Canis lupus familiaris: one gene and its partner. The protein of the gene in region 1 purifies or fractionates together with the protein of each later gene. This does not show direct contact. Links are inferred from orthologs where the notes say so. Each region holds a gene or a part of one and is shown in the gene's direction. Other genes may lie near its edges.

The links. The genes of interacting proteins can lie anywhere in the genome.
Region 2: the proteins of YWHAE (region 1) and PAK4 purify together in Homo sapiens (affinity purification with mass spectrometry; 4 studies listed by BioGRID and IntAct, with this or other methods). This does not show direct contact. The link is inferred for Canis lupus familiaris from reciprocal best matches to the Homo sapiens genes YWHAE and PAK4.

What each region holds. Positions count from the first base shown.
Region 1 is NC_049230.1:45,479,318-45,482,965, reverse strand, and holds part of YWHAE (14-3-3 protein epsilon), read left to right. Parts: intron 1-1,039; coding exon 1,040-1,176; intron 1,177-3,648. UniProt on the Homo sapiens protein: Adapter protein implicated in the regulation of a large spectrum of both general and specialized signaling pathways. Binds to a large number of partners, usually by recognition of a phosphoserine or phosphothreonine motif.
Region 2 is NC_049222.1:114,835,512-114,839,259, reverse strand, and holds the start of PAK4 (serine/threonine-protein kinase PAK 4), read left to right. Parts: upstream 1-1,313; 5' UTR 1,314-1,503; intron 1,504-3,748. UniProt on the Homo sapiens protein: Serine/threonine-protein kinase that plays a role in a variety of different signaling pathways including cytoskeleton regulation, cell adhesion turnover, cell migration, growth, proliferation or cell survival.

The sequences.
Region 1 (3,648 bases):
TTCTTGTCCTCTAGGGTTTCTGAAGTACTTTCTCCAGAGAAGCACTTCATACTTGTTTTATAATGGTTTTATATGTCAGTCCTCTATTTTCTAGATATTCACTGTGGACTGAGATTGTTTTTTCCCTCTCTTCTGTTTCTCCACCAGTGTTCCACATCACTTGGTATACATCATACAATATATCCAGTAAATGTTGTTTCTTTTAAATTCTAACGAATAGCTTACATACATTTTTGTGGGTTCTATATTGCCCCTCCCCCCATTTTTGGCTTCTGTTAACATTAAATTCTTCGGAAATAAACTGAACTAACATTTCATCTTTTTGCATTAAAATTTTATTAAATAAGTGAGCTGTTAATGCTTGGCTGGCTTAGTGGTTGAGCCAGATATCTGCCTTCGGCTCAAGTCATGATCCCGGGGTCCTGGGATCAAGTCCCACATAGGCTCCCCACAAGAAGCCTGCTTCTCCCTCTGCCTAGGTCTCTGGCTCTCTCTCTCTCTCTCTTCTCTCTTCTATGTATGTGTCTCATGAATAAATAAATAAAATTTTTTAAAAACGTGAGCTGTTGACTAGAACTTGGTAATACTTTTATTATGCCTATATTTTGGTTGGTTCAGGATAGAATTTATTTAGTCTATATTCTGTTTATTGATAGGCTTGTCAAAAGCCTAGTAAGAAGTGGTGTTCTGGGGTGCCTGGCTAGCTCAGTAGGTAGAGCATGTGACTCTTGACCTCGAGGTTGAGGTCATGAGTTTGAGCCCCACATGGGGAGTTTTTAAAAAAAATAATGTAGTAGTGCTCCTAACAATTTTATGCCTCCAAATTTGCTAGATTATAAAATTAAATAGAAAATTAATTTTCATCAGTTACATCTATTTTTCCTTTATTACAGTATTTAAACCCAGGATAGTATTATATACTGTGGGATAGCTGAAGAAAAAGATTGATTTCTAACACGTCATTTCTTTTTTTTTTTTCTAACACATCATTTCTGTTTTGAGGCTTTATTACTATAATATATTTATTAAATACTTTTAGGTTGGCAAAAGCAGCTTTTGATGATGCAATTGCAGAACTGGATACGCTGAGTGAAGAAAGCTATAAGGACTCTACACTTATCATGCAGTTGTTACGTGATAATCTGACACTATGGACTTCAGACATGCAGGGTGATGGTAAGGAAACTCCGAAGTTAAATGCATCTCTTTTCAGCTATTGGATATTTTTACTCTTAGGAATTCCTTGGTATTTCTTCATACTAAGCTACAGTTTAGACTCAGCCTATCCCCCAACAAACTATCAAATTTTAATTATTGTTTTTATAGCAAATGATCTCAAAGTACAATTTCCATTTGGGACTGTATGTTAATAATATAAAAGACCTCCTTGGAAAGGGGGATCTTTTTAATATTCAAAGATTTAAAAGTTAAAAGATTTAAAAGTTTTGTCTCTAATGATATTTGCTAACCTTAGTTTTTTTCTCTCACTGTGTTTTGGAAAATGGAGACAGGAATCAGCTCATTTTCTTTTTCTCAGATTCAATTTTAGGGATCTAAGATTGTATTTGATTGTCATGATCACTGCTTTGGCTGACTGGTATCCTGAGGTTAAAACTAGATGGTGTCAAAAAAAAAAAAAAACTAGATGGTGTCAGTAAATATTTATGAACCATTTTCTCTGGAAATCTTTAAAGAAGGAACTTGTCTCTGGATTTTATAAAGCAAATGGAATGTCCTGCTTTTTGTCTGTAAGAGGTCTGATATAGTCTCTGTTTTGTTGTTATTGTTTGTTTTTAGTTATAAATATTATTTTACAAAACTTAGTCTTGTGATGGGGGGTTAATATTTATTCTAAATGCCCAAATTTGTCATAATTGTTGATTTTAAAGGAGATTTTATTCTTATTCTTTATTTATCCCAAATAATCCTTTTTTATCCATGATAGATTGTTGAAGAGTTGAGGAGAGGGCATGGGGCACATAAACTAGTGTGGCATGCGCATTTTATGAGCTATAGCTCTATAGTTGGTGGTATGTGGAGTGGAAACAAAAAGTTTTGTCAATTTAAGTTGCAGATCCTTTAAGGACTCTGAAGCATATGTTGCATTGCTTGAGGCTGTATAGTCTGTTAGTCAAGACAGCATGCTGAATCCAGCATGTTGTCTTTGGAAGCATTGTACTTAAAAGTATTTCTGGGGATGCCTGGGTGGCTCAGTGGTCAAGCGTCAGCCTTTGGTCAGGTCACAGTCTCAGGTTCCGGGATTGAGTTCTGCATCGGGACTCTCCCTGCAAGGAGCCTGCTTCTCCTGCCTATGTCTCTGCCTGCCTCTCTGTGTCTCTCATGAATAAATAAATAAAATCTTTTTAAAAAATTAAAAAGTACTTCTGAAAATGGGTTTTTCAGGGCATGTATGTTGTAAGTTTCCTTACTCCAGAAGGATAGAGTCAGATTTTAGACTTCTTTAGGTAATAAAGTGAGAATTAGGTGACTCCGCTTTAAAGCTAACTAGCTTTATGAAATATTTAGATATTTGGCTAGGGTTGGCTTGAGATGTGTGGCATATGTGATCTACTTGCACACTTACCCAACAAAGCCAGGTGGAGCCACATACTACTTTTCAACACAGTACTTCAGGCAACCGCTACCAGTCTGTAGGACTCAAAACCAATTTACCATCTCTGAACTAATGACTTGAGGTTCCTTCCAGCTTTGACATTTTGTTGTATTCTAAATAATAACTACTCAGAAGAATGGCCAAACAGCTGTGGACTCTTCACAGTCACTCTCAGCTCAGAGAAGACTAATATCTCTCTGCCTGTTTGAGGGGCTAAAGGAAAACATGTGGAGAGTTTGGTAAGCGGTATTGACCTATAAGTAAGGTATATACCCCTGTGACCTCTGGGGACATTTTTCTGAGGGTGAAAATAACAAAGAAGGTGACCTGGGTTGAAACCTTTCTTTCTTTCTTTCTTTTTTTTTTTTAAAGACATTTCATGCCAACTTTTATAACTAAACTTTTGCTAGATTATAAAAGTAAATAGAAATAAGGTTTATTTTCTAATGCTACTTATATATCACTGATAACCAGGAATTAAAGTAACTATATGTCCATTCAATTTTTACAAAGAACCAAAGATAACACTTTTTCTTGGTTATAAAGCATTTTATGAAATAGGGTTATTCTCTTGAAACTACTTTTCATAGTTGGAGGGGTTCTTTGTATAGAGATGTTTCATTACATTTCTGATAGATCTCTCTTTAATCCTGTTTTAAATTTAGTGAAATCCAGTTGCTATAGTTCTTATCACTTTGTAAGTTGAACAGTTGATTAAATTTAGTTGAGACAGACTAATTTTCATTGAAGAGCTTTGTATTTGAAATTAGGAAACAAAAAAATTATGAAACATAGTTTATTAAAAATTTAAGTAGTCTTCGGACATTTTAGTAAAATTAACAAATTATCTGAATTTAAAAATTGTGGGTACTAGTAATTTATGTGTTTTATTAAATAGGTTTTGTGACTTAGAATATGCAAAATTGCAGTCATGAAATAGGCAGTTCCTCAGGGTGTTAATTTACTTGAACATTATTTAGTTTTTTTCCTTTTTAATTTTATTACGAAAAACGGTGTCAAAAAACTAGAATTAA
Region 2 (3,748 bases), on another chromosome or scaffold:
ATTTAAGAGTATCTCGGAGGGCGTGGAATTAGGCCTCAGCCAAGCATCCATTCAACAAATATTTACTGAGCATCTACAGGCCCATCGTGCACTGGGCACTGGGCATGCACAGGAAACAAAACAGACAAAAATCCATGCTCTCGTGGAGCTGACATTTCAGTAGAGGAAACAACCCAAATAACTACAATTAGCTAATTATCTAGTTTGTTAGAAGGCGATTGGAGCAGGAAAATAAGAAAAAGCAGATGAGGGGAAGGGCTTAGCAGCATGGGAGAGGGATGTTTGCTGCTTTAGTTAGGGTAGGAAGGAATCACCCTGATAAGGTGATATTTGAGTAAAACGCTGAGAGAGGTAAGGGAGGGAGCCCTGAGGATGCCAAGGGAAAGAGTCTATTCCGGACAGAAGGAGCAGCCCATGCAAAGACCTCGAGGAAGGGGAATGCCCGGTATCTTTTCTGAAAGAGCAACGTAGCTGGGACCCAGTGAGTGAAAGCATAGGATAGGATGTCTGGGTTTAGCTTATGGATTTTGTTGTTGTTGTTTGTTTTCTCGTATTTTCCTTTTTTTTTTTTTTTTTTTTGGATGAATTATTTTTTTTAAAAGCTTACAGAAAAGATTAAGATCAAACAGTGTCTTGGTTCCAGTTCAAGTTCCTGGACTCGGATTGTCGTTCAAAACTCATTATCTACTTCCTGTAATCCTGAGGCAGCTAGTTCACCCTTGTGAGCCTGTTTCTGTCCCTGTAAGATGAGTATTAATACTAGGACAGGGTTGGGACGCCTGGGTGGCCCAGGGGTTGAGCATCTGCCTTGGCTCAGGTCGTGATCCTTGGGTCCTGGGCTCGAGACCCTCCCCCTCCGGCTCCCTGCAGGGAGCCTGCTTCTCCCTCTGCCTCTGTGTCCCCCTCTCTGTGTGTGTCTCTTATGAAGAAATAAAGTCTTTTAAAAAAAATAATACAACAGAGGTTTGGTGAGCATTTAGTGAGCATTTAGTGAGACAATGCAAGGGGCTTTTGGCCGGGTGTCTGGAACACAAGTGCTTAGTAACTGTGTCTGGCCATTGTTACCCATTACTGCCTTCCACCCGCTTACTCGGTTTTTTGGTGTAAGGTGCGACTGCCGCACGCGGATGGTCATTTCCCCTTTAAGAACCTGATTGGGCGGGGAGCCAGCTTCCCCGCACCCTTTCCAAATTTTCCAATCTCCGCTCGGCATTTTCTGCCCGAAGGGCTCCGATTGGACAATCTGCACCAATCAGAGGCTGGAGCGGGCTCTGCCGGCGGCCCAGCTCCGCCCCTGGACGGGCCCTGCCCCCTGCCCGGTCAGCCCCGTTGCTATGGGGACTGGTGGGCGGCGAGGGGGGAAAGCCCCGGATGTTCGTTGGGGATTTAACATGGCGGCGGCAGTGGCCGCGGTGGCGGCGGCGCAAGAGAGCTGAGGGCGGTGTGAGGGTTCGGGATTCCGAGTCGAGCTGCTAGGCCGCGAGCAACTGCAGCGCCGAGCCGGTAGGATCAGCGGTCTGGCCTGGAGATTGGGGTGGGCCGGGCCGTGGCGGTGGGAGAGCGTTTACGCAAGTAGGGGGCGGGGCCGCGGGGGTCAAAGTTCACTCGAAGAGGGAAGGGTCGCGTCGGAGAGGTCGGGGGTCAGTGCCGCCGGGGAGGGTGGTGTACAAGAGGTCAGAGGTCAGAGTGGCGAAGGGGGCGTGGCGAAGGGGACCTCGAAGTTCGAAATTTGAAGTGGGGCCCTTTGGAGCTTTGGAGGGGGTCGGGGCGAGGGTCACAAAATGGGGGTCAAAGCGAGTCATTTGAAGGGAGGGCGCGCTTACCAGAGTCGGAGATCACAGCCCCCGGGGCGGCGGGTTGCGGGTTTGCGGCAGCAGCCGGCGGAGCAGATGCCGAGACTGAGGTTGGGGGGCCACCTTTTTAAGGGCTCAAATGTGGGGCGTGGCCAGAGGGGGCAAAGGTCAGAGTGTGACAGATGATGGACCTGAGGGTCAACAGTTGAAACCCCAGTGGGATCCATTGCTGGGGAGGACGGGAGGGATGCCCCAGAGCCATCAAAGGTGCTTCCTGGCCGGGTAAAGGGGAGCCCGCGCCCACAAATAACGAAAAGAAGAGCAAGCACTCGTGAATTACTATGTGCCCGGTCACTTGGACGCTTTACACGTATTTAACCCTCTCCGCAGCCTTATAGGGTTGGCGCTGTTATTAAGAGCCCAAGCGATCTGCCCAGGATCATCTAATGAAGAAGTTGCGGGGCTGGGATTCAGACCGGAGTTCTGGGCCGAGTCGTACCAGGCTCTACTGCTTCTCGGGCAATCGTAACTTTGGCTAATATTTAATGAGGCCTAACGCCGTGCTCGCCGCTCTTGATTCGTTATACCGCGAACTTGTGAGGTGGGTCCTGGATAGACCCACTTTACAGACAGGAAAACTGAGGCTCGGGTACCTTCTGCTGAGTAACAGGAGGCGGGTTCCAAGCTGGGTCTGACGGACTCCAGAGCTCCTGCCCCTGGGTTGTTACACTGTAGATTGTTAAAGGACGTTCCTGTCCTGGAAGCAGGGGGCTGGGCAGGGCTGAGCCACTCCCCGGACTGGAATGGATTGTCTCTGGGCTCCTTGGGAGGGTGTGATCTGGGAAGAAAAGTTCTCATGGACCTACGCGGGTGGGGGTGTTTGTGGGTGGCCCCGAGTCCAAGTGAGTCTGATGGGCTTCTGGCTGGGGAGGATGTCCCTGAAGGGAACCCAGTACAAGGCCGAGTGTTCTCTGTACTTAAAACCCCAAGCTCTCATGGTGGTCCCAGATGGCTCCCACGCCATTTCCTTCTGCTCTCCGGGTCCCTTGTCAAGGTCCAACCCCACTGGCCTCTTTGCTTTCTTCAACTCTGTAGGTATATGCCACCCTCCAGGTCTTTGACGTTCCTCTTCCCTCTGCCCAGAATCCTTTCCCCGCCCGCCCCCCACTCGCAGTCACCCACGTGCAGCCCTACCAGCACCACCTGGCCCTCACTGTCCCTCACACGCCCTTTATCTCACTCTCTTGTTTTCTCCCCAGGGCTTTGCTCTGTTCTTACCTTGTTTGTCAGGGCACCATGTGTTGTCCGCCTCCCCTCCCTCCCTCCCCAAAGAACGTGGGGCCCACGCAGCAGGAATTTCTCCTTGCTGTTCCTTCCCTGAATCCCGGCCTGAAGCAGCCTGGCCAGCGGAGGATGCTTGGTGGCTGGTGGTTGGATGTCGGACACTGTGCTGGGTGCTGAGACGGCAGCAGCGGGCAAGACACAGAACCCTGGGCCTCCAAGGGCTCTCCGTGTCCCTTGGTGGGAGCAGACTGGAACCAGACCCCCAGCCAGTGATACGGGGCTACATCTGGATCCCCAGGGTGCCCGGTCCCCAGGGGTCGGGGGGCAGTGGAGCAGGGGCTGCTGAGCAGCTGCCCTGTATCTGGAGCGTAAGTACCGAGGACTGGTTCAGGGAGCAGCTGCTAGAGTGGGATGCCTGCTGCTCACACAGCTCCATCACTCAGGCTTTGTGGCCGTGGGCAACCTGCTTAACTTTCTGGGCCTCAGTTTCTTCCTCTGCAAAATGGGAATGATAACGGCCACGTCACAGGATGGCCACAAGGGCACAGAGTGTGAAGCGCATGGCCCCGGGCCTGGCACCTGCTATGCGCCGTGTTGGCATTAGTCCTGCTGCTGCCACCACCTGGGGAGGACCTCAGAAATGAGGGAGGGCCCCACCCCACCTGCCTCCT